Linked DNA regions of Yarrowia lipolytica. The protein of the gene in region 1 interacts with the protein of each later gene in a biochemical or structural test. Links are inferred from orthologs where the notes say so. Each region holds a gene or a part of one and is shown on either strand. Other genes may lie near its edges. The genes, in order: YALI1_E18854g, YALI1_E39500t and YALI1_F03735g.

Evidence for each region.
Region 2: the proteins of YALI1_E18854g (region 1) and YALI1_E39500t form a complex in vitro, tested with the Saccharomyces cerevisiae proteins (3 studies listed by BioGRID, with this or other methods). The link is inferred for Yarrowia lipolytica from reciprocal best matches to the Saccharomyces cerevisiae genes RFA1 and DNA2.
Region 3: the proteins of YALI1_E18854g (region 1) and YALI1_F03735g form a complex in vitro, tested with the Saccharomyces cerevisiae proteins (2 studies listed by BioGRID). The link is inferred for Yarrowia lipolytica from reciprocal best matches to the Saccharomyces cerevisiae genes RFA1 and RAD52.

Annotation. Positions count from the first base shown.
Region 1 is NC_090774.1:1,882,922-1,889,373, forward strand, and holds YALI1_E18854g (uncharacterized protein), read left to right. Parts: upstream 1-2,477; coding exon 2,478-4,247; downstream 4,248-6,452. Other genes in the region: YALI1_E18843g (uncharacterized protein), read right to left, coding at 1-1,432; YALI1_E18895g (uncharacterized protein), read right to left, coding at 4,396-6,452. UniProt on the Saccharomyces cerevisiae protein: As part of the replication protein A (RPA/RP-A), a single-stranded DNA-binding heterotrimeric complex, may play an essential role in DNA replication, recombination and repair.
Region 2 is NC_090774.1:3,947,363-3,954,023, forward strand, and holds the start of YALI1_E39500t (uncharacterized protein), read left to right. Parts: upstream 1-2,677; coding exon 2,678-4,956; intron 4,957-5,001; coding exon 5,002-6,661. UniProt on the Saccharomyces cerevisiae protein: Key enzyme involved in DNA replication and DNA repair.
Region 3 is NC_090775.1:370,296-376,524, reverse strand, and holds YALI1_F03735g (uncharacterized protein), read right to left. Parts: upstream 2,981-6,229; coding exon 1,751-2,980; downstream 1-1,750. Other genes in the region: YALI1_F03765g (uncharacterized protein), read left to right, coding at 1-1,287; YALI1_F03722g (uncharacterized protein), read left to right, coding at 4,292-6,121. UniProt on the Saccharomyces cerevisiae protein: Involved in DNA double-strand break (DSB) repair and recombination. Promotes the annealing of complementary single-stranded DNA and by stimulation of the RAD51 recombinase.

The DNA.
Region 1 (6,452 bases):
GTCGTCGGGTAGTCTGTTCGTCCACAACCCGAGCCAGAGACTCACTCTGAGTTCTCAGAGCAGACTGGTGGGTCTTGAGTACCTCCTCAGCTTCCTTCAGTTGGGTCTGGTAGACGCCAAACTCGCTTTTAAACTCCTTGACCTTGAGTTCCGAGTCCTCCTGTGCCTGCTCCAGAGCTCGCTTATGGTCCAGAACAGGTCTGAGTTTTCGCTTCACCGTCTCAATCTCAGCCTGCTCAGCCAGCGACCGCTTGTGCACCTCATTTTTCAGCGTGCTATACTCGGCCGCGTCCTCATCAGTTCGAATAACTCCGCCTGACTCCTTCTGCTTCGATGACAGATCTCGTTCAAACTCACTGGAGGCATCCTGAACCATCTTGAGAGAGCCTCGAGTCTGCTTGACTTCGTCCTGGTGTCGAAGTAAGTCAGCCTCGACAGTGCCGTACCGAGCCTCGTGACGCGAAATGTTGCCGGACACCACAGCAATACGTTCAGCCACAGGCACGAGCTGCTGCTTGTGCTCCAGAATGACGTCTGCTCGCTTCTTTGCCGAACGCTCCTGCTTGAGCAGCCGCTTCTTGTCGCTGGCATATTTGGCAGCCACGTTTTCCACCTCCTGAGCAGCCTCCTGAACAGCCCCCTCGGCGTTCTGGATAGCAGCGTCTCCACCTTCAATCTGGTCTCGGGCCTCATCTTCGATTTTTTGGGCCTGCCACAGTCTCCACAGCTGCTGCTTCACAACGGCCTCGTCTCGCTCTGCGGCCTTGGCGGTGTACGCGTCGTAACGGTCCTTGAGCTCAACGTAGTGCTTCTTCTCAGCGTTGTAGGTACGTCGTCGCTGCCAGGCTGCGTTGCTTCGCTCAGTCTGGACATCTAGCTCCTCCTTGAGACGGTCGTATTCGGGCTTGAGATCGATGGAGCCAGAGGTGATTTCAATCAGCTTGGACAAGTCTTGAGGCGACTGACTGGCAATCTGCTCCACATCTCCCTGGAAGACCAGGAAATTTCGGGCCTTGACCAGAATGTTTTCCTTCTTCATGGTGGCATTGTATTCGCCTGACGACGTGACCTTGTTGTTGATTCGGTACTCAGACGTGCCCGAGGGTGTGATGGTTCGCTTGAGCTTGAGTAGGTCTCCATTTGACTTTTCGTACTCCACCAGAACGTATGCCGACGTGGCTTCCTGAGACTGGGTCGAGCTGACTTCCTCGCCACGCATGATTCGGCCTCGGTAGATGAGGTCCTTGAGCTGGGTGGATCGGAGCTGCGAAGACCGCACTCCGAGCACAAACGAGATGGCGTCCATCATGTTGGACTTACCCGAACCGTTGGGGCCGATGATGGCCGAGAACGACGAGTCACCGAGATCCACACGGTGCGTATCACGGTACGACTTGAAGTTGCACAGCTCAATAGCCTTGAGGGTGCCCATAGTGTTGTGATGGTGTTGTGATGGTGTGTGGTGATGTTGTGTTGAAGTGTACGCGTGTTGGTGGTAGAATGACAATTTACATTTCACTCGCGTCCATCTAAACTTTATTTTGGAATAAAAATACAGTAAAAGAAATAAAAGAAAATAAAGAAATAAAAGAAATAAAAGAAATAAAAGAAATAAAAAAAATAAAAGAAAAAAAAAAAATAAAAGAAAAAAAAAGAAATACTTTGTAAATTACGAAGAAAACAAAAATATAACTCAAGTACAAGTACTTGCTGGTTTCTCGTTATAGACATTGCGAACCACACGCACGATAATTCAGAGCTCCACGCGAATTCAGCTCCACACGATTCAGAAGCTATCAAACCAAACCTCAACGGACTGGTACTATCTGTAGAACATCAATGATAACGACTGTTGTTGTCGTCAAAACTGGTTGCTCCGGTCGAGCTGCTGTGGATCGATACTGTCTGGACAAGACTATTACTACAAGCCTATACCACTGATCTTCAGTTGAAAACAACTCAATGCGGGGTGATGGCGAATACCGATTGGAATTGGGACAGGAAAATCAGTTATCTCCAAGCTCGAGGGGAAATATCGTATCTTTTTGTGTTTTTTTCAGACGTATTCAAGTCTCAATCTTCCAAATACTGTATGCATCGCTCGTCCAGTAGCCTGCCTAAAGTTTTTGATGCGAACGCGTAAACAATAAAAGATGCGCATGTATGATACTGTTTAGGGGGTAGTCTAGACGACGCTACCATGGACCTCGAAATGGTTGGACCAGTACAGAAATTGAAGGAAAAGAAGGAGCAGAGGCTCAGAATATGGCAGTAAAGAGGATATCCACTGACCCCCCCTCCATGTTCCTGTTTCTCTAAATTTTGCCACCGCCACTCCGCGACAAGGTTCGCTTCTTACCCTACTTAATTAAGAGTGTGCACGCCTGCGCGACGCGTTCTTTCCAAAATTCATCTGCTTGTTTTCTACGCTCCACAGCAACACACACACACATACACACAAGACCACAAGATACAAGATGACGTTTGAGCTATCGACCGGATTTTTCGACGCCGTGGAGAACGCCACCAGCCGAGATGAGCTGCCTGAAAAGTTTCGGGCTCCAATTCTCCAGATTGTGCGGCCCATGAGCGAGCTGCCCGGCAAGAACAGATTCAAGGTGACTCTGTTTGACGGAGAAAAGCCCGGCATGGTGTTCGGCGACCTGGACAACCTGCCCCAAGAACGACCGGGCAAATTCGACATTGTCAAGCTCAGCAACTTTGAGCTGGTCATGGCCAAACAGCGAGGAGTCGTCTACGTCCACCAGATGGACTTCTTGAGCCACGCCGACGCGGCTCTGGGACTCGATACCGAAGAGGATGCTGAGCTTCCTGGTGGCGCTGCTGCTACTGCTCCTGCTGCTGCCACCAGCAACCCCACCCCTGCCAAGCGAATGGCTTCTACCAACGAGATTCCTGCTGGTGTCCAGGCCCAGGGATTCCCCGCCACTGTGATGCCCATTGAGCGACTTTCGCCTTACCAGAACAAGTGGGCCATCAAGGTCCGAGTCACTTCCAAGGCCGACAAGAAGAAGTTCTCCAACACCAAGGGAGAGGGCCAGCTCTTCAATGTCACCTTTATCGACGAGACGGGCGAAATTCGAGCCACCGGCTTCAACCAGGAGGTGGATAAGTTCTACCCCATGCTGGAGGAGGGCCAGGTTTACTACGTGACTCAATGCCGAGTCTCCATGGCTAACAAGAAGTTCTCCAACGTGAACAATGACTACGAGCTGGTGTTTGGCCGAGACACGGTTATCATCCAGGCGGACGAGGCCGAGGCCGCTGCTATCCCCACAGCCAATTACTCGTTTGTGACTCTCGATAAGCTGCAGGATGTTGAAGTTGGCAACAATGTTGACGTTCTTGGTGTCGTCCAGAACGTTGGTCCCCTGGAAGACGGCGTGGCCAAGGCTACTGGCAACCCCTATAAGCGACGAAACCTCATGTTGGGAGACAAGAGTGGATTTGCCACCCGTCTGACTTTCTTTGGAGAGAAGGCCACTTCCTTCGACGAGGGAACTGTTCCTGTTGGCACCATTATCGCCATCAAGGGCGCCCGCGTTGGCGACTTTAACGGCCGAAACCTGTCCACCAGTCACAGCTCCACTATTGCCGTGGAACCAGCCATCGACGAGACCTACGCGCTCAAGGGATGGTATGCCTCTGAGGGTAAGCAGACGAGCTTTAAGCAGCTGCAGACAACTACCACCAACAAGCCTGTGGCCGCCACACCCATTGATGTCGCCACATCCAGCTACGGACAGTCAGAAAAGCCCGACTACTACACCCTACAGGCTTGGGTCGTGCACGTTCGAACCGGCAACTTTGCATACCCTGCTTGTCAGACTCCGGACTGTAACAAAAAGGTGGTCGAGCATGGTGACGAGTGGCGATGCGAAAAGTGTGAAAAGAACATGGATAAACCTCTTTACAGATACATCCTCTCCATCAACGTGGGAGATGCCACAGGAAGCATGTGGCTGACGGCATTCAACGAGCCTGCTGAAGTGATTATGGGCATGACCGCAGATCAATTGACCGAGATCCAGACTAGCCAAGGAGACGATGAGTTTGAGCAAGCTGTTCAGAAGGTCACCGGCAAACAGTACACTCTGCGATGCCGATCCAAGCAGGAGTTTTACAACGAAGAATCCAAGGCTCGTCACCAGGTTCTTACGGCGCAGGCGCTCGACTATCTCAAGGATATTGATGAGCTCATCAAGGACCTCGACCAATACATGTAATGGGGGATTGGTGTTACTAGTTGTTATGAATGATGGGGGTATATATAGTTTATGAAAGATTGTAATTTAGCGCAAGCAAGTAGTTCTGTCGTGAGTTCATCATTCATCATTATCTATAATCAGTTCTTGTGGCAAACACTGTCGTTGGCTACCTGTTAGTAATCCGCTTCCACACGTTCAACGCTACAGCATCCACAGCACCGAGATTAGGAGCTGCAACACTCTGCTGCACCTTGAACAGCTTGGTGTGGGTTCGGTTCCATACACCCACTGCAGCGGCACCCGTACTGTACCCTGTGCCCACAGTGTCAGCTAGGGAGGTCACTTGACGACCCACGCGAGCCTCATGGGTGTAGAGACTGGTCCAAATGAGAGATAGATACCAGCCAAGAAGCACTGGGTCCCACTGAAACTCAATCTTGTGGAACTTTGTGGGCTGCACAGGAGGATTGAGGGTGCCTATAGTGTCGATCATCGTGGAGGGTGTGTCTTTAGTGGTCTTGGGCTCGTCGCTAGCAGGGCTTGTGCTGGAGCTTGGTGGTGGTACTGCGGAGTATGTGTTCAACCCAGGGACAGAGGACTCAATCATGGCGTAGACCGTGTCAATGGTGTCGAGTGGAAGGTCTTCTAGCCATGACAAGTCCTCCTCACCATTTGTAGGCTCCTTTCCTTTCTCCTTCACGAGGCGATGCAGCTTTTCAAATGACGACCGTCGCTTCTGTAGAACAAAGACAAGCGACTTGTTGGCCTGAAAGTTGTATTCAAGCATGGCGTTGATGGACTCCAGGGTGAGCTCCAACAGGAAGCGGTTTGTGGAGTTGGCGAACAAGAAGGAGGGCGATGACAGAACGTCGAAAATGTCAACCAGCTGGCACGACACCGTGTAGTCGATATGCTTGGCCTGCACAGACAGGTTGTAGATGCATTCAACCAGAGTGGGGATGATGGGGTTGATTTCTTCACGAGGTTGAGTGATGACAGAGAAGAGCTGGCCAAGCACATAGTTGAAATTCACAGTGCCATCGTCGAACGAAGACACAACCACATCATCATCACTCAGATAGAGCAGGAAGTTACTGAGCAGCCTCAGAGTCTGCGTGCTCTCACACATTTTGATTTGTTGCAGAATCGATAGAATGATGTTGTCGAGGTACCCCTTCTTTAGAAGCCACGGCAAGAATCGCTTGTTGGTCTGAATGATCTCCCATAACAAACAGATAATCTCGTTGGTGCGTGTTTCCTTCTTGCCAGTCAAAATGGAGCCAGAGGAGGCCGAGAACTTGGCCAGAATCTCGCTAATGTGTCTTGCAATGAACTCAAAGTCCACATCCTGCTTGAGTTTGCCCAGAAAGTATCTGAAGTTGTTCTTCACGCCCGGCTCCGGGGGGTAGTAGACAACAAGCAGAAGCAACAGTTCCAGGGCCCAGAACGCCGTCTGAGAGCCCCCAAACACGACTGTTTGGAAGGCATTGGCATCGCGCAACAACCGCACCAGCGACAAGTTGAGCAGAGAGCACAGTAGCAACAGGGTGTCGCTCTTACCAAGCCCGCTGACAATGCACGTGAGAAACCGGGAGCCCTGCGTGGTAACATGGTTAACACTAGTGTACAGCTGTTTGCACGAGCAGCACACGAGTAACCTGAGAATCTCGCAGCGATTTCCCTCCTGCGCGCTGGTCACCCCTCCTTCCACGCTGTGACAACCCACTCCCATTTCCCAGATTTGCGAGGTGCCGCATAGCTTTTTATTGAACAAAAGCGACACGAGCTTTGTCACCAGCTTCTCGCCCAGAATGTCGTTGCTCCAGAAGAGATCGTCATCAAACGTCTTGGTGCCACTTTCAAACACAATTGGTAGCACCCTGGTGAGAACGCGAATGCAATTGAGCAGTTGCGGCTCGGGCGTTGTATCGTCGCAATTGATAATCTGTTGGCTCACGACTCGGACCAGAGTGGCTATATTGTCTGGAAAAGTCTGGAGCGCCGTTCGGACATCGTTCTCGCCCACCAGTGTGAAGATGTCGCTGGCGTTTTCCGGAACCATCCATAATTTGCTCCAGAAGATGGTATCTGATTCAGGAATGCTGGAATCCGTCGACAACCGGAAAATCTCGGTGCGAAACGTCTGTTTCGACTCGGTTTGGCCCATTGATGTGCAAGTCGGTATATTGAGGGTGGTCAGATGGCCTGAACCTAAATCTCGCG
Region 2 (6,661 bases), about 2.1 Mb from region 1:
ATCACTCTCGAGGGCTACATATCAATTTCCCTGTTTTAGAAAGGCAGTCTAAAAAAACCCTATCCGATAGCGTTAGATGGTGAGACGCTTCTGTCGATATTAGAGGAAGTAGGCCGTAATGCGAGAATAATCGGCCTATTGGCGGAGAGCTCTTCGCTCCAAGGGCATGCTGCCTCAGATAAGCATGCCGTTCCAATATCACGTCTGCAGTTTCAGAGTGAAAGCCTACAAGTATGTACATGTTGCCATGGTTGGTGCCGTGCCAAGTCTTGATTGGGTCCTTGGCGGTAAAATGTGCAGGGTCCCCCAGGAACGGTTCCTGAAAGTGCCTCGGCATGCAGCTTGTTGATAACTCTCTGAAAAGCAACTTCATGACGTCAGATATGAGATTTTGGGATGTGATTGTGGATACAAGTAGAGAATATGCTGAAGATATGAGTTAGCGAGGACACATTCAAGACAAAGTTCGTTACCAGCCCCTTGGGTCGCTCCCCCCACTCTTTCGTTTCATCGGTATATAACGACGCATCTAACATGTATGCCAGGTACGGATCCTGACAAGTGAGACAAACACAATACAAACACAATGGAATACTCGTACAGTGGAAAGAATGATGGGGGACGGCACCAGGGGGTACACTTCAGGTGGAGAAACGGCATCGACCATACCTTTATGGGGTACATTAATTGGTTGTTTGACCTCGAAGATCAACAAAGAATCTCCAACTGCCCATGACCATCCACCGTTGAGTTTGTTGGTCAGTCAGACACAATCTGTGCTGTCCCCAATACCGCACATGCTGTACAGAAAACGCGCAGTTTCAGCAGGATATCTTAGAGACAGGTTTTCAATCCTTCGTTTATTTCGCTTTACGCCCCTTTGTGGTTCATTCCATTGCGGTAGTCGAGGCATGTATACTGTCCAAGTTTGTTTCAGATTTTGAGCACCGTGTTTTGAATTAGCATCGCAGTCTCATTTGGCTGTCGTGTGTACTGTACGAGTTCTATGAGGATATGATGTTACCTGTTCCAAGCCAAGAATGAACCAATCTCACATGTTTGTCCAAGTGCGGATTTGTCTCACCTGGACCCCTGTCTTGGAATGTCTTGGTCATATTATTTGGCTCCTCTAGAAACCCGTTTGCGGGTAAGGAAGCAACCTGTGCATGTTGCATCACGGCCCGCACTGCCACTACAAGTACTGTACGGTAGAGGCAGTTGAGACAGGTCTATTGAGATGGAATGGGTTTTGAAACAACAAATATACATTATAATTCTCTTTTTTTTTAATACATTCTGTCAGTTCGCCGAAGAAAAATACCTTAAGAATGTCATTTCTTGCTCGTCAAAGAGAGGTTGAAAAACATCATTGAACTTCAACTGAAGTGCTTCCATCTACAAGTTTTGTTTGGAAACAGAGAGAGACAAATCCCTTCCAGATACAAGTAGCTTTTGTTAAAGATAATTAGACCATGTACTGTATCATTAAAATAGGGACAGCAATCCCATGTTCCAGATACGTAACGAGAAAGTCATTCATTAACGTGTTCACCATTTGAAACTTCCTAAGTGCGTTTATTATTACTGCTGTATCGAGTGTAGCAGATTTCTTTCGTTTTTTTTATGATTCCGTTTATTTCCATATGACTTTAGTTGAGTTTAGTTGATACCCGATGTGAAAACACCCTACACATTAACAATCTTGTGCTCATACATACTGTACTTGACTTCTGTTTCTCTACAGCATCAATGTTCACCAAATTTCAAATTTAGACGCGTAATACCACTCATGTGGTTAGGGTTAGCACGGATCTCTCAAACACGATCCCGAGTGCAAATATCGCATTTTACACCTTTATTGCATTTAGTACAATATCTATATATATATAGACACCCTATCTTATCACTTACAGTACTTTCCTTACACTTGCTATCTTACTGCACGTGTCACTGTGTTTTTTTTTTTTTTCTGCATATACATTCATTTAATTATAACTTTGCTGTGAAAGAATAACCTTTGAAATGAATGTACGCTTACACGAATATTACTAATTAAACACGTTTAGTGTCATGGTCCAACTTGGCACGTACCTATTTCCAGTAAAAAAATCATAAAAAAACCTGGTTCAGTCCGTGTTGTATGTTGGTCCACATAGCTTCGCGTGTTTGTTCGTTCATCGGGAAAACGCCACTCCAGTCTCCAGTTCTCTAATCTCAATCCTTCCATTGCCCTCTTCGTTTGCATTGCCTTTGAAAATGTCTCCTTGTGGTTCTTCTTCGTCATTGGTTTGGTTCTGCGTCCCCTGTGGTGACTACGCGCCCTGCTACGCTGTTCTCTCGGTGGCCTCGGCCGCCTTTTACGCTTGCTACTGTGTCTACTCTCGCTCATCGTGAAGTGCTGGCGGTTGTCCATCGTAGAAACACATCTGGGCTTCCTTCAGGAATTGAAGCAAACCCTGTTGGACATGTCCCAGGGTGGCGTCGTCCCCTGAGTACCGGAGGGATCTCTCCATCTTCCAGATCCCATATGTTCTCACGGTGACTTCTGTGAAACCCACCAGATCTGAAGCAACGCCACCTTAACCGTGTCGACGTGACGCGTCAGACACGCAGTGACACACAAATTGAAAAACATACACACCTCACAACATTGATCTGATCCACGCCACCAAACAACATGTCGAGATATTTTCTGGGGTCTGTGCCCCAAGATGATCCGTCACCGGCTGCTGAAGAGGACGAAGACCCGTCCTCCGACTGGTCGGCAGCCACACCCATAAGGCCAAGGGAAAACATCCCCAGTTCGGAACAGTACGAGTCCAGTGATGGCCACATTTCTTGCATTCTCTCCCCGCTAGACAGGAACATTGTGATCCCTGACCAGAGCGACGAGCCTCCGATTCCAGTGGTCCTTGATCCAACCGAAATCCTTCTGAGACGCTACCGACCCGAATCATTCAACAACTCTGCCGCCAGCTCAGCGGCAAATTCCACAACGGTAAAGGCTTCTTCGGCTGGTTCAGATGCCAACGCCACAAGCAACTTCACCAACAACCTGGATCTCAACACGACAGTCATTGCAGACGATCCGTTCGTGGAGGCGGTGTGCTCTACGCCCAAGGGAAGGGACATTAGCGGACGCTTTGAAGAGACTACACCAACAAGAGGTCCACCCGCTCCAAAGCCAGAAGAGTCTTACAAGTTGTCATCTTCACCGCCAAAGGCCACAGCTGAGAAGCCTTCCATAACCACCAGCATCGAGGGTTTGAGTAGTCAGCTTGATATCCTTGATGACTTGGATGACGACGATATTGATTTTGCATTGACCCAACATACCCAGAAAAAGAAGGAAGTCAAGTTAACACAACCTACCATTAAAAAGGAAACTGATATCCACGTTTTGAAGGACATTGAGGACCTAAAAAAAACGCGTGGGTCTCCCATTAAGCTTTCAAAAGCATCAATGGGGTCTAATATTAGGCCCCTGACTGAAGTCAAGAAGGTTGATGTCAAGTCATTCATTGACGACCTGGAGGACGAAGACTTTGATAGTGATTTGGAACTCGAATTCACACAGGTTCGGGCCAAGAAGAAGCCGCGCCTTCAGACATCGAGATATAAGCTCGTCACTGACCATGTTATGTCTCAACGAACTCACAAGGAAAACGCCTTACCCGTGGAGATTGACTACAAACGAGACGATGTTCTGCGGTTCAGAATCGTCGAAGTGGAGGAAAGTTCGACTCAGATCGCTCTAGTTGTGGAGGACAGCAAGGCCCAGCAACACCGTGTTGCTTTGCGAGGTTGCTGGATGCGAGCAATACCTTGTGTGGGAGACATTTGTCATTTGATCGATGAGTCATCAAATGACGACATGGATCTCGATTTCGAGATGGATTTCGACTACATTGTGGACGACATGAAGGGCGATATGCTTTTTATTCTGAATCCTGACACTCTGGTGACCTGTACAGCCGTTGCTGAGGCCCACCAGTGCACTCGAAACGTGGTTCTGAAAGACAAAATGCAGGGACCGAGAGGAATCGGGTCTATTTTTGCACTCTTGGGTGTCATTATCCACGAGACCATCCAGATGTGCTTTGGAGCTGTGAGATACGACGCCGAGTTTGTGGAGTCATGTGCTGAGACCGTTACCAAAGCAAACATGGATGGCATCATGCTCTCTGGTGAGAGTTTTGACTCTGTGTTTGCCAAAATCAAGGACCGACTACCGAACATTGTGGAGTGGTTTAGAGAGTATATGCGTCAGACTCCCTCTGCAGTGGCGATTGAGAATCGAACAGGTAAGAAGAGAACTCTTGCTATCACCAAAGTTGTCGATGTTGAAGAAGAGATCTGGTCTCCGCGATACGGAATCAAGGGTAAGATCGATGCCACCATTGAAGTCCGGGAGGGAAACCACCGATACTTGGTTCCTCTGGAAGTCAAGACGGGAAAATCTACAACTCATATTCCCCACCGGTCGCAAACGGCGCTGTACACTCTCATGTTGCATGATCGGTACACTTGTCCCATCAACTTTGGAGTTTTGTATTACTCTGCCACCTCTGAGACCCTTGTCATTCCAGCTGTCAAGGACGAAATTCATAACCTGCTTGCTATTCGAAACGAGGTTGCTAGCTTCATGCGACAAGGGTCTCGAGACATGCCTGACGTTATCTACGATCAAGGCCAGTGTGACCGGTGTTTCCAGAAGTCGGAATGTATGGTCTATTACCGACTCTACGATACGTATTTGAAGGAGTATATGGGTGAAGATGGTGGAGCGACCGCCAACAAGGCCAGATTCTTGCAGGAGACCGAACATGTGACTGAGAAGGACTCTCAATTCTTTAACCACTGGGATGCCTTGCTGGCCAAGGAAGGAAGTGATACTGCAGTGCTCAAACGAGAGGTGTGGACCATGCTGTCCAAGGATAGAGAAAGGGAAGGGAGGTGAGTATTGATGAGATTATGCTGCCTTTAATTTTACTAACAGAGATGTTTCTCAAGCCTTATTATTGACAACGTGGAGAAGAATGCCAATTCATTGTGGTACACGTTCAAGTCTCCTGATGGAAGCGAGATCCCCTATGCATCTGTCAACATTTCGCCGGGTGACCGAGTAGTCATTTCTGATGAGGCTGGTCATTACTGTTTGGCTATGGGTACTCTGCTTGGCTCGTCTTCAGAGACTGTGCGATGTGCTCTTGATCGTCGACTTGAGTTCTCTCTGCAGAAACTCCAGGGTTTCAGATCCAACGACAACCAGGTTTTCCAGAGCATGCTGACCCACAGTTCTCAGAGCCATGAAGCCCCCATAGATTTTAGGTTTCGGGTTGATCGTGACGACTTCGCTTTTGGCCTGGGAGTTGCCCGTAACAACCTGTTTTCTCTGTTTGCCAAGCATCTCGGTACCGATGAGAGCCCCCAGAAGATCGAGCAACTGCGTTCATGGATTGTTGATTTGGCACCCCCTCAGCCTGTTGCTGGAGAGCCCACTGTCAAACTCGGTCGACTCAATTCCGACCAGACTAGGGCTGTCCACCACATCCTGAACTCAAAGGATTACAGTCTTCTACTAGGAATGCCTGGAACCGGTAAGACCACCACCATTGCTGAGATTATCATGGAGCTGGTCAAGAACGGAAAGACTGTTCTCCTGAGTAGTTTCACTCATTCTGCTGTCGACAACATTTTGTTGAAGCTGATGCAGCACCCTTCATGTAACTTCGACATGCTGAGATTGGGAAGCACCTCCAAAATTCACCCTGAGGTTGCGGAGCATTACGCAGCCAACAACCGACGGAACTACGAGACCCGAGAAGAGTTCGAGAAGCTTTTTCTTGCTCCTCCAGTTGTTGGTGCAACTGCCTTGGGTATTGGAGACTGGGTTCTTCAGGAGCGTCATTTCGATTACTGCATTGTTGATGAGGCCTCCCAAATCACCCTTCCTTTCTGCCTCGGTCCAATCCGCTATGCAGACAAGTTCGTTCTTGTTGGAGATCATTACCAGCTGACGCCCATTGTCAAGAATCCGGAAGCTGCTGGACTGCGAGAGTCTCTTTTCAAGATGCTATGTGACGCACATCCCACCCAGGTAGTTAATCTGGGTATTCAGTACCGAATGTGTGCTGATATCATGTTGCTGTCCAACACTCTGATCTATGATGGCAAGCTGAAGTGTGGTAGTGACGAGGTGGCCAACCAATCTTTGGCTGTTCCTCAGCTCTCCAAACTGCGTACTTTGTACGCCGATGGACTCCCCAATGGCGACTATCTAGGTCATGTTCTGGATCCCAAGCGGAAGGTTATCTTCCTCAACACGGATCTTGTTCCTGCGCAGGAAACTATTGCCGGCGATAGAATCCATAACCCCACTGAAGCTGTCATAGTGGGCCAGATTGTGGAGGCTCTTTGTCTGTGTGGCGTTGAAGACTCACAGATTGGATGCATCTCGCAGTACAGAGCTCAGCTGAAACTTATCAACAAGGAGCTTGCCCTGCGAAGTGGCATCGAAGTTATGACCGCAGACAAGTTCCAGGGCCGAGACAAGGACTGCATTGTGGTGTCTCTCGTGCGGTCAAACAACGAGCAGCGAGTCGGTGATCTTCTCAAGGATTGGCGACGGCTCAATGTGGCCTTTACGCGATCTCGATCC
Region 3 (6,229 bases), on another chromosome or scaffold:
GTGGAACCAAGCGACGCCGAGAAGAACATCGAGATCTGGAAGGTGCGAAAGCTGATCAAGAACCTCGAGGCCGCTCGAGGTAACGGAACCTCCATGATCTCGCTCATCATGCCCCCCAAGACCCAGATTCCACAGTACTCCAAGATGTTGACCGATGAGTACGGAACCGCCTCTAACATCAAGTCTCGAGTCAACCGACAGTCGGTGCTCTCCGCTATCACATCCACTCAGCAGCGTCTCAAGCTGTACAACCGAGTGCCCACCAACGGTCTGGTTATCTACTGTGGAGACGTGATTACTGCCGACGGCAAGGAGAAGAAGATGTCCATTGACTTCGAGCCCTTCAAGCCCATCAACACCTCTCTTTACCTGTGTGACAACAAGTTCCATACCGAGGCTCTGTCAGAGCTGCTGGAGTCCGACTCCAAGTTTGGCTTCATTGTCATGGACGGTAACGGAGCCCTGTTCGGTACTCTGTCCGGAAACACCCGAGAGGTTCTGCACAAGTTCACCGTTGATCTGCCCAAGAAGCATGGTCGTGGTGGTCAGTCCGCGCTGCGATTCTCCCGACTGCGAGAGGAAAAGCGACACAACTACGTGCGAAAGGTGGCCGAGGTGGCTGTCCAGAACTTCATCACAAACGACAAGGTCAACGTCAACGGTCTGATTCTGGCCGGTTCTGCCGACTTCAAGACCGAGCTGAACGGCTCTGATCTCTTTGACAACCGTCTGCACGCTAAGGTCATCAAGACTGTCGATGTGTCGTACGGAGGAGAGAACGGCTTCAACCAGGCCATCGAGCTGTCTGCCGAGACTCTGTCCAACGTCAAGTTCGTTCAGGAGAAGAAGCTGCTGACCCAGTACTTCGACGAGATCTCCATGGACTCTGGAAAGTTCTGTTACGGCTACGACGAGACTCTCAAGGCCCTGGATCTCGGAGCCTGCGAGACTGTCATTGTCTACGAGAACCTTGACATCCAGCGAATGACTCTCAAGAACAACGATGGCGAGGAGACCATTGTGCACATCAAGAAGGGAACTCCCACCGAGGAATACCTGATCGACAAGGAGGGTAACGAGCTGGAGGTGGTCGACGAGATTCCTCTGCTCGAGTGGCTAGCCGAGCACTACAAGGACTTTGGCGCCCAGCTGGAGTTTGTCACAGACCGGTCCTCCGAGGGTGCCCAGTTCGTCCAGGGCTTTGGTGGTATCGGCGCTCTGCTCCGGTACAAGGTCAACTTTGAGCAGCTCGTGGAGGAGTCTGACGACGAGTACTACGACGACTAAGAGACTAATGTGCATCACAAAAATGTTACGTAACAAAATTATAGTGGAGAGAGACTGGATGAACGACGTGACTCTCCGATTATAGATTATGGATGGGTTATTATTAGGTGAAATAGTTGATAGTGCCTTGCCACAACACTGGTAAATTAATACAACGGATGGTGACAATGACAACAAAACAATGAGCAAGTAAATCACAGCACACTGGAAGGCCAAGTACAGTCACCAGTATCTGTACAGTAAAACGCGACACATTAATTGGAGGCCAATAAAACTAACTACGACGCTTACTGTAGCTCTGGACATCAGAACAACACCATCCCTATTGGTCCAGTCGCCTACAGCGGTACAGGACGACTACATACAGCACACTTGAAATTCACTTGCTACTCTGACTGTACACCATTCATATGCAAATTGATAGAAGCTAATATACACCCTCCATCTGTCCATCCCTCGTTTTCTATTCATCATTTTCGTTAATTTTGTGCTTTTTGGCAACAGGGGTGGTAAACTCGGGCTTCACAGGATTCACTAACGGCTTGGACAATGGGCTGGGGGGAATGTTGGTGGACTTGGGGTGCATGGGAGGACGTGGTTTGGCAATAGGCACACTCCTATTATGCTCCAAGGTGCGCTTAATGGAAGGACTTTGGATGTTGATGTCAAACGCGGCATTCTGTGAAATGGGACTGCCCTTGTTGATATCTGCCGCAACGCTGGCCTTGAAGAAGCCCACGGGGATAGGCGATCCGTCCTCCTCCATTGCCTCAGCCGAAATGGGCAGGTCTTCGTCAAAGTCCTCAGCGGAGATGGAGGGCGAAGGGTTGCGTCCGGCCTTGAGCTGGGGCACTAGGGAGTCGAGGTCGAGATCGTCGTCGTCAAATGAGTAGTCGATGCCCTCGCACATGGCCTCTATGGACACGGCCTTGCTGCGGTTGCTGGATGTGTTTGAATGACCGTGGAGGCTGACGGAAGGCGCAGGAGGGGCAGGGGCAGGGGCTGGAGCAGGAGGATCCTGATTATGCGAGGTGGTGGATGTGGATGTAGATGCAGTAATGTTGGCAGCAGTGGCCTGCTCCTGCTTGATATCACGCTTGATGACAAATTCTGGCTTTCGAATCAGATTATTCTCATCAAACGTGTACTTGGCAGATCGCACCGTCTTGAGCTTGCTCAGGTATTCCGAGTCGTACAGACAGTTGCCCAGAGAGGGGCCAAACTGACGCATGGCTCGCTTAAATGCATCCGTCACAGCCTCCTTGCGCGACTTGTTGAGCGCCATGTCTCGCTTGGGGCAGTTCTCGACATTGCCGGACCCCGTGTCTTCCCGATAGGTGCCGTCCTTGAGATGGACACGAACAATAGCATAGACGCCCACGTCCCATCGCTTTGTGTCGGGGTTCTGGTCGCAGTAGTCGACCTCCAGCTTGATGATCTGCGACCGCCAACCGTTGAAGCCGAAGATCTCGTTGGCCAGATTGAACACCTTCCAGCCCTCCAAGTAGTGCACGCTTCGACCTCCCGGACTGGGCCGTTTGGAGACAAATTCGGGGCCCAGGTTGTGTTTGAGCAGATCAGACACCTGTCGCTCCTCGCTGCGCGAGTAAGGAATGTTGGGGGCGCCCCCAGAGCCCGTGGTGATGGCTTTGGGTGGATCAGGCAGCGCGTAGTGGTCTCCGAACTGTGGCATTGCTAGTAGAGCGGGTGGCGTTTTTTGATGCAATTAGGAAACAAGGTGGTTAGTGTTGTGGTACCGGCGGAAACGAAGTCGTTTCGTTACGATCAGATGCTTGTCACTGAGGAAGTAGTTTTTGTCAGGCACTTTTTTCTTACAACGAAAAAGCAGGTATCCTTGCAGGTGAACTTCTCTGGTGTGACGCGTCTATGTCGATGCAGGAAAAATACCTGCAATGTTATGATCAGAGTAAGCAGCTAAAAATGCAGTCTTAGAGGAGAGCAAGATATGGTACGGAGGGCGTGAAGATGGTGGGTGAGGAGAAAACAAGAGCAAGTTAGACATGAATAATGAGCATTAGCATTGCTTCAGCTTTGTCACCGCCCTTATAATCTTCTAAATAATACTCTTGAGGTGTTCCTGGTTCAGTCTTGAATTTTACAGTTTTAGTGTCAACACGTCCACACGCGAAACGCTCTCTCGATTACAAATTCAAGCTTGCTGTGAGAACGCGGCGGGCGTAGATTGCCCCTACAACATGGCACGTGACCGGGAGACGTAGATATTGCTCTTCACAATGCGGTAACATCACCAGTGAAGAATCTGCTTACGTACAGCACCTACTTGCCTATATAAGGACTTCCACTTCTTAGTCACCAACTTTAGTTACTTAGCTTTAGATGTAAATTTGTTGAGAGAAGAAGTCAGCTAGGGGTAGCTATTTCGATCTTCCCGAAATGGTGTAACAAAAAGAAGGATATAATTGGATAGATAAAGGAGCGATGTTTCATATAAAGCAAAAAATGTATCTCTTCAGCGTCAATAAGTGGAGTTGGCGGCGTTGGAGGGGGCAAGGGATAAGTAAGCGCTGTTGGGATATTAGTTGTGATTTAGTTGGTAGTCTGAATATACAAGTACTGTAAATAACGTGTGAGAGGTTGCCGAAACTATATATAAATAAATTGTGGGAGGTGGCAGTTTCAGGGTCGCCGAGAAAACTAATAAGACAATGAATCAACCGACCAATATAAATCAACTGCAATTACTCCATTCACCTTCCCACTCCCTCCCCCTCCCGCCCACCAAGTATTCTCCTCTAACCTGTCTCCATCCACTGATTGTTACTCAAGCTTTCTGCATTGTTGTTTCTGCATGTTTGGATAGCCTCTGAAAAAGATTCTGGAAGCTTGCGAGATCAAGAAGTGAACCAAAACAACCACATAACCGCCGCAACCACCGCTACTACTAACGAATCTGCATCATCCAAACTAGAAGAAACGATTACCGACACATACTCACACACACAACTCACAATACACACACCACATGGTCAGCGTATCGCGAATGATGCCGGTGCCTAGTGCCCGGTCGGAACCCATCCCATACCACAGTCTCATGACGCTGGTGATGAAATACAGATTTGGCAACATGTATCGGCTGCTGTTCACGCTTTGCTATCTGATTGGAATTGTGATTGAGGTGCTACGACGGGTGTTGGCGTCGTCAGATGACTCCTCATGGTGGTGGTGCCTGTTACCTCTACGAGCCTCTTGGCTACTACTGGGTCTGTTGCCGGTCGTCATCATGAGAAAGGCCGACCTGCACATACGGGAGCTGCCGTACCTGTCACTGGCTGCTGAGATCTGTGATCGTATCTTCTCAACCACGTTTGTCGTCACCTTCGCAGCATACATGCTGTCAGCATCCATGTTCTTCGGTTACTACACCAAGGCCATGTCGACAGAGAACTCGGCCTTCACCACCCGAGCTACCCCGTTGACCCAGCCTATGCTAAACGAGAATGCCCTTTACCTGATGGTGTTCCCAATTGCTCTGTCTCTGGCCCAGTCGGTGCTCCACATCGCCAAGGACATTGACAAGCTCATTGTACAGCCTGTGACCGAAGAACCCGCTCGACCCATGGAGAGACTCAAGCACCAGATGACCGACATTGTCAAAAATGCAGGCACTCTGTCGGCGGGCTTCTCTCTGGTCGTCTACCCCATCATGTTCTACCCCAGCTTCCGCACCAAGATCTGGAACATCACTATGTCACTGTCGGGCTACTGGTACGGACTCAACAAGGCACAGACCCCCGAGGTGTATCCCGGTCTACGATTCTCGCTGGTCATGGACACTTTCATCGCCTCAGCAATCCTGTTGCTTCTGTGGAATCTCGTCAACACCACCTTCTCCATCTACATGTCTCTGGGACCTCTACGCAAGGGCGAAGGAATCAGTGAATCGTCTCCCGACAGAAACGGAACTTTGGTATCGGGACTGCGAGACTCCAAGCACGTTTACCCGCAATCGGTGGCATTCCAGGAGCTGCTCTACGTGGCCCTCTTCTCTCCACAGGGACGAGTCCAAATGTTTGAAGATCTCAGCAGAGATCAGAGCATGTGGGTCGAGGTATACGCCGAGTGCAAGAAACAGATTGTAGCTGTGACCGAGGCAGCCAATTCGTCCATTGGTAAAGTCAAGTCCAAGCCGAAGCCCAACCCCTTTGACTACAAGGGCAAGCAGCAGGCCGACCTGGTGTCTACGGCCCGTCCCGAGGCTCCCCAAATCGTCATCAGAAGGGACAACATCTTCAAGAACCCCAAACCGGATTTCCCCAAGGTGGTTCAGGTGTTCCAAGACAAGGAGGCTACTACTTCCAACCAATTTTCCGAGTCTGTGTCTGAGCTCTTCAAGACGTTCACCGAGCTTCTGGGCGGCTACCAGACCCAGATGATTCAGCTCCTCAGACTTCCAATTGGCGCTCCTTTCAGACAGACCATCCAGAGACGATGTAAGCGAATTGTGCCTGAGCCATTACTCACTTGCAACGCCATCATGGCTCTGTCATTCCTAGTCTTCCACTCCATCGACGAGGACCGGTATGGAAGCGTGCAGAGAACCATTCCCGAGATTCTGGACACTTTGTGCCAGTCCATGGTTGCTCTAGACGAGCTGCTGCGAAAGCCCCCTGTGAGCTGGACCGACGTCAAGTTCAACCCTGACGATATCGACGAGGAAATGTCCGATATCGTTTTCATTCGGTCTTCGGCCCAAACGGCATTTTCTCGAATCGTGTTCCGGTTCGAGCAGTGGATCGAGGGTATGGATCTGACTCCTCTTGTCCAGCGAGAGATCCGCAAGCTTTATAGCTAGGCTGTAACTACGGTACGAGTAGCTGGAGGAGTGCTGCTTGTAGCTACTGTAGTCGAACTGTACATACAGCAGTCGAAGGAGGACATGTCTAAGGACAGGTGGAATAAG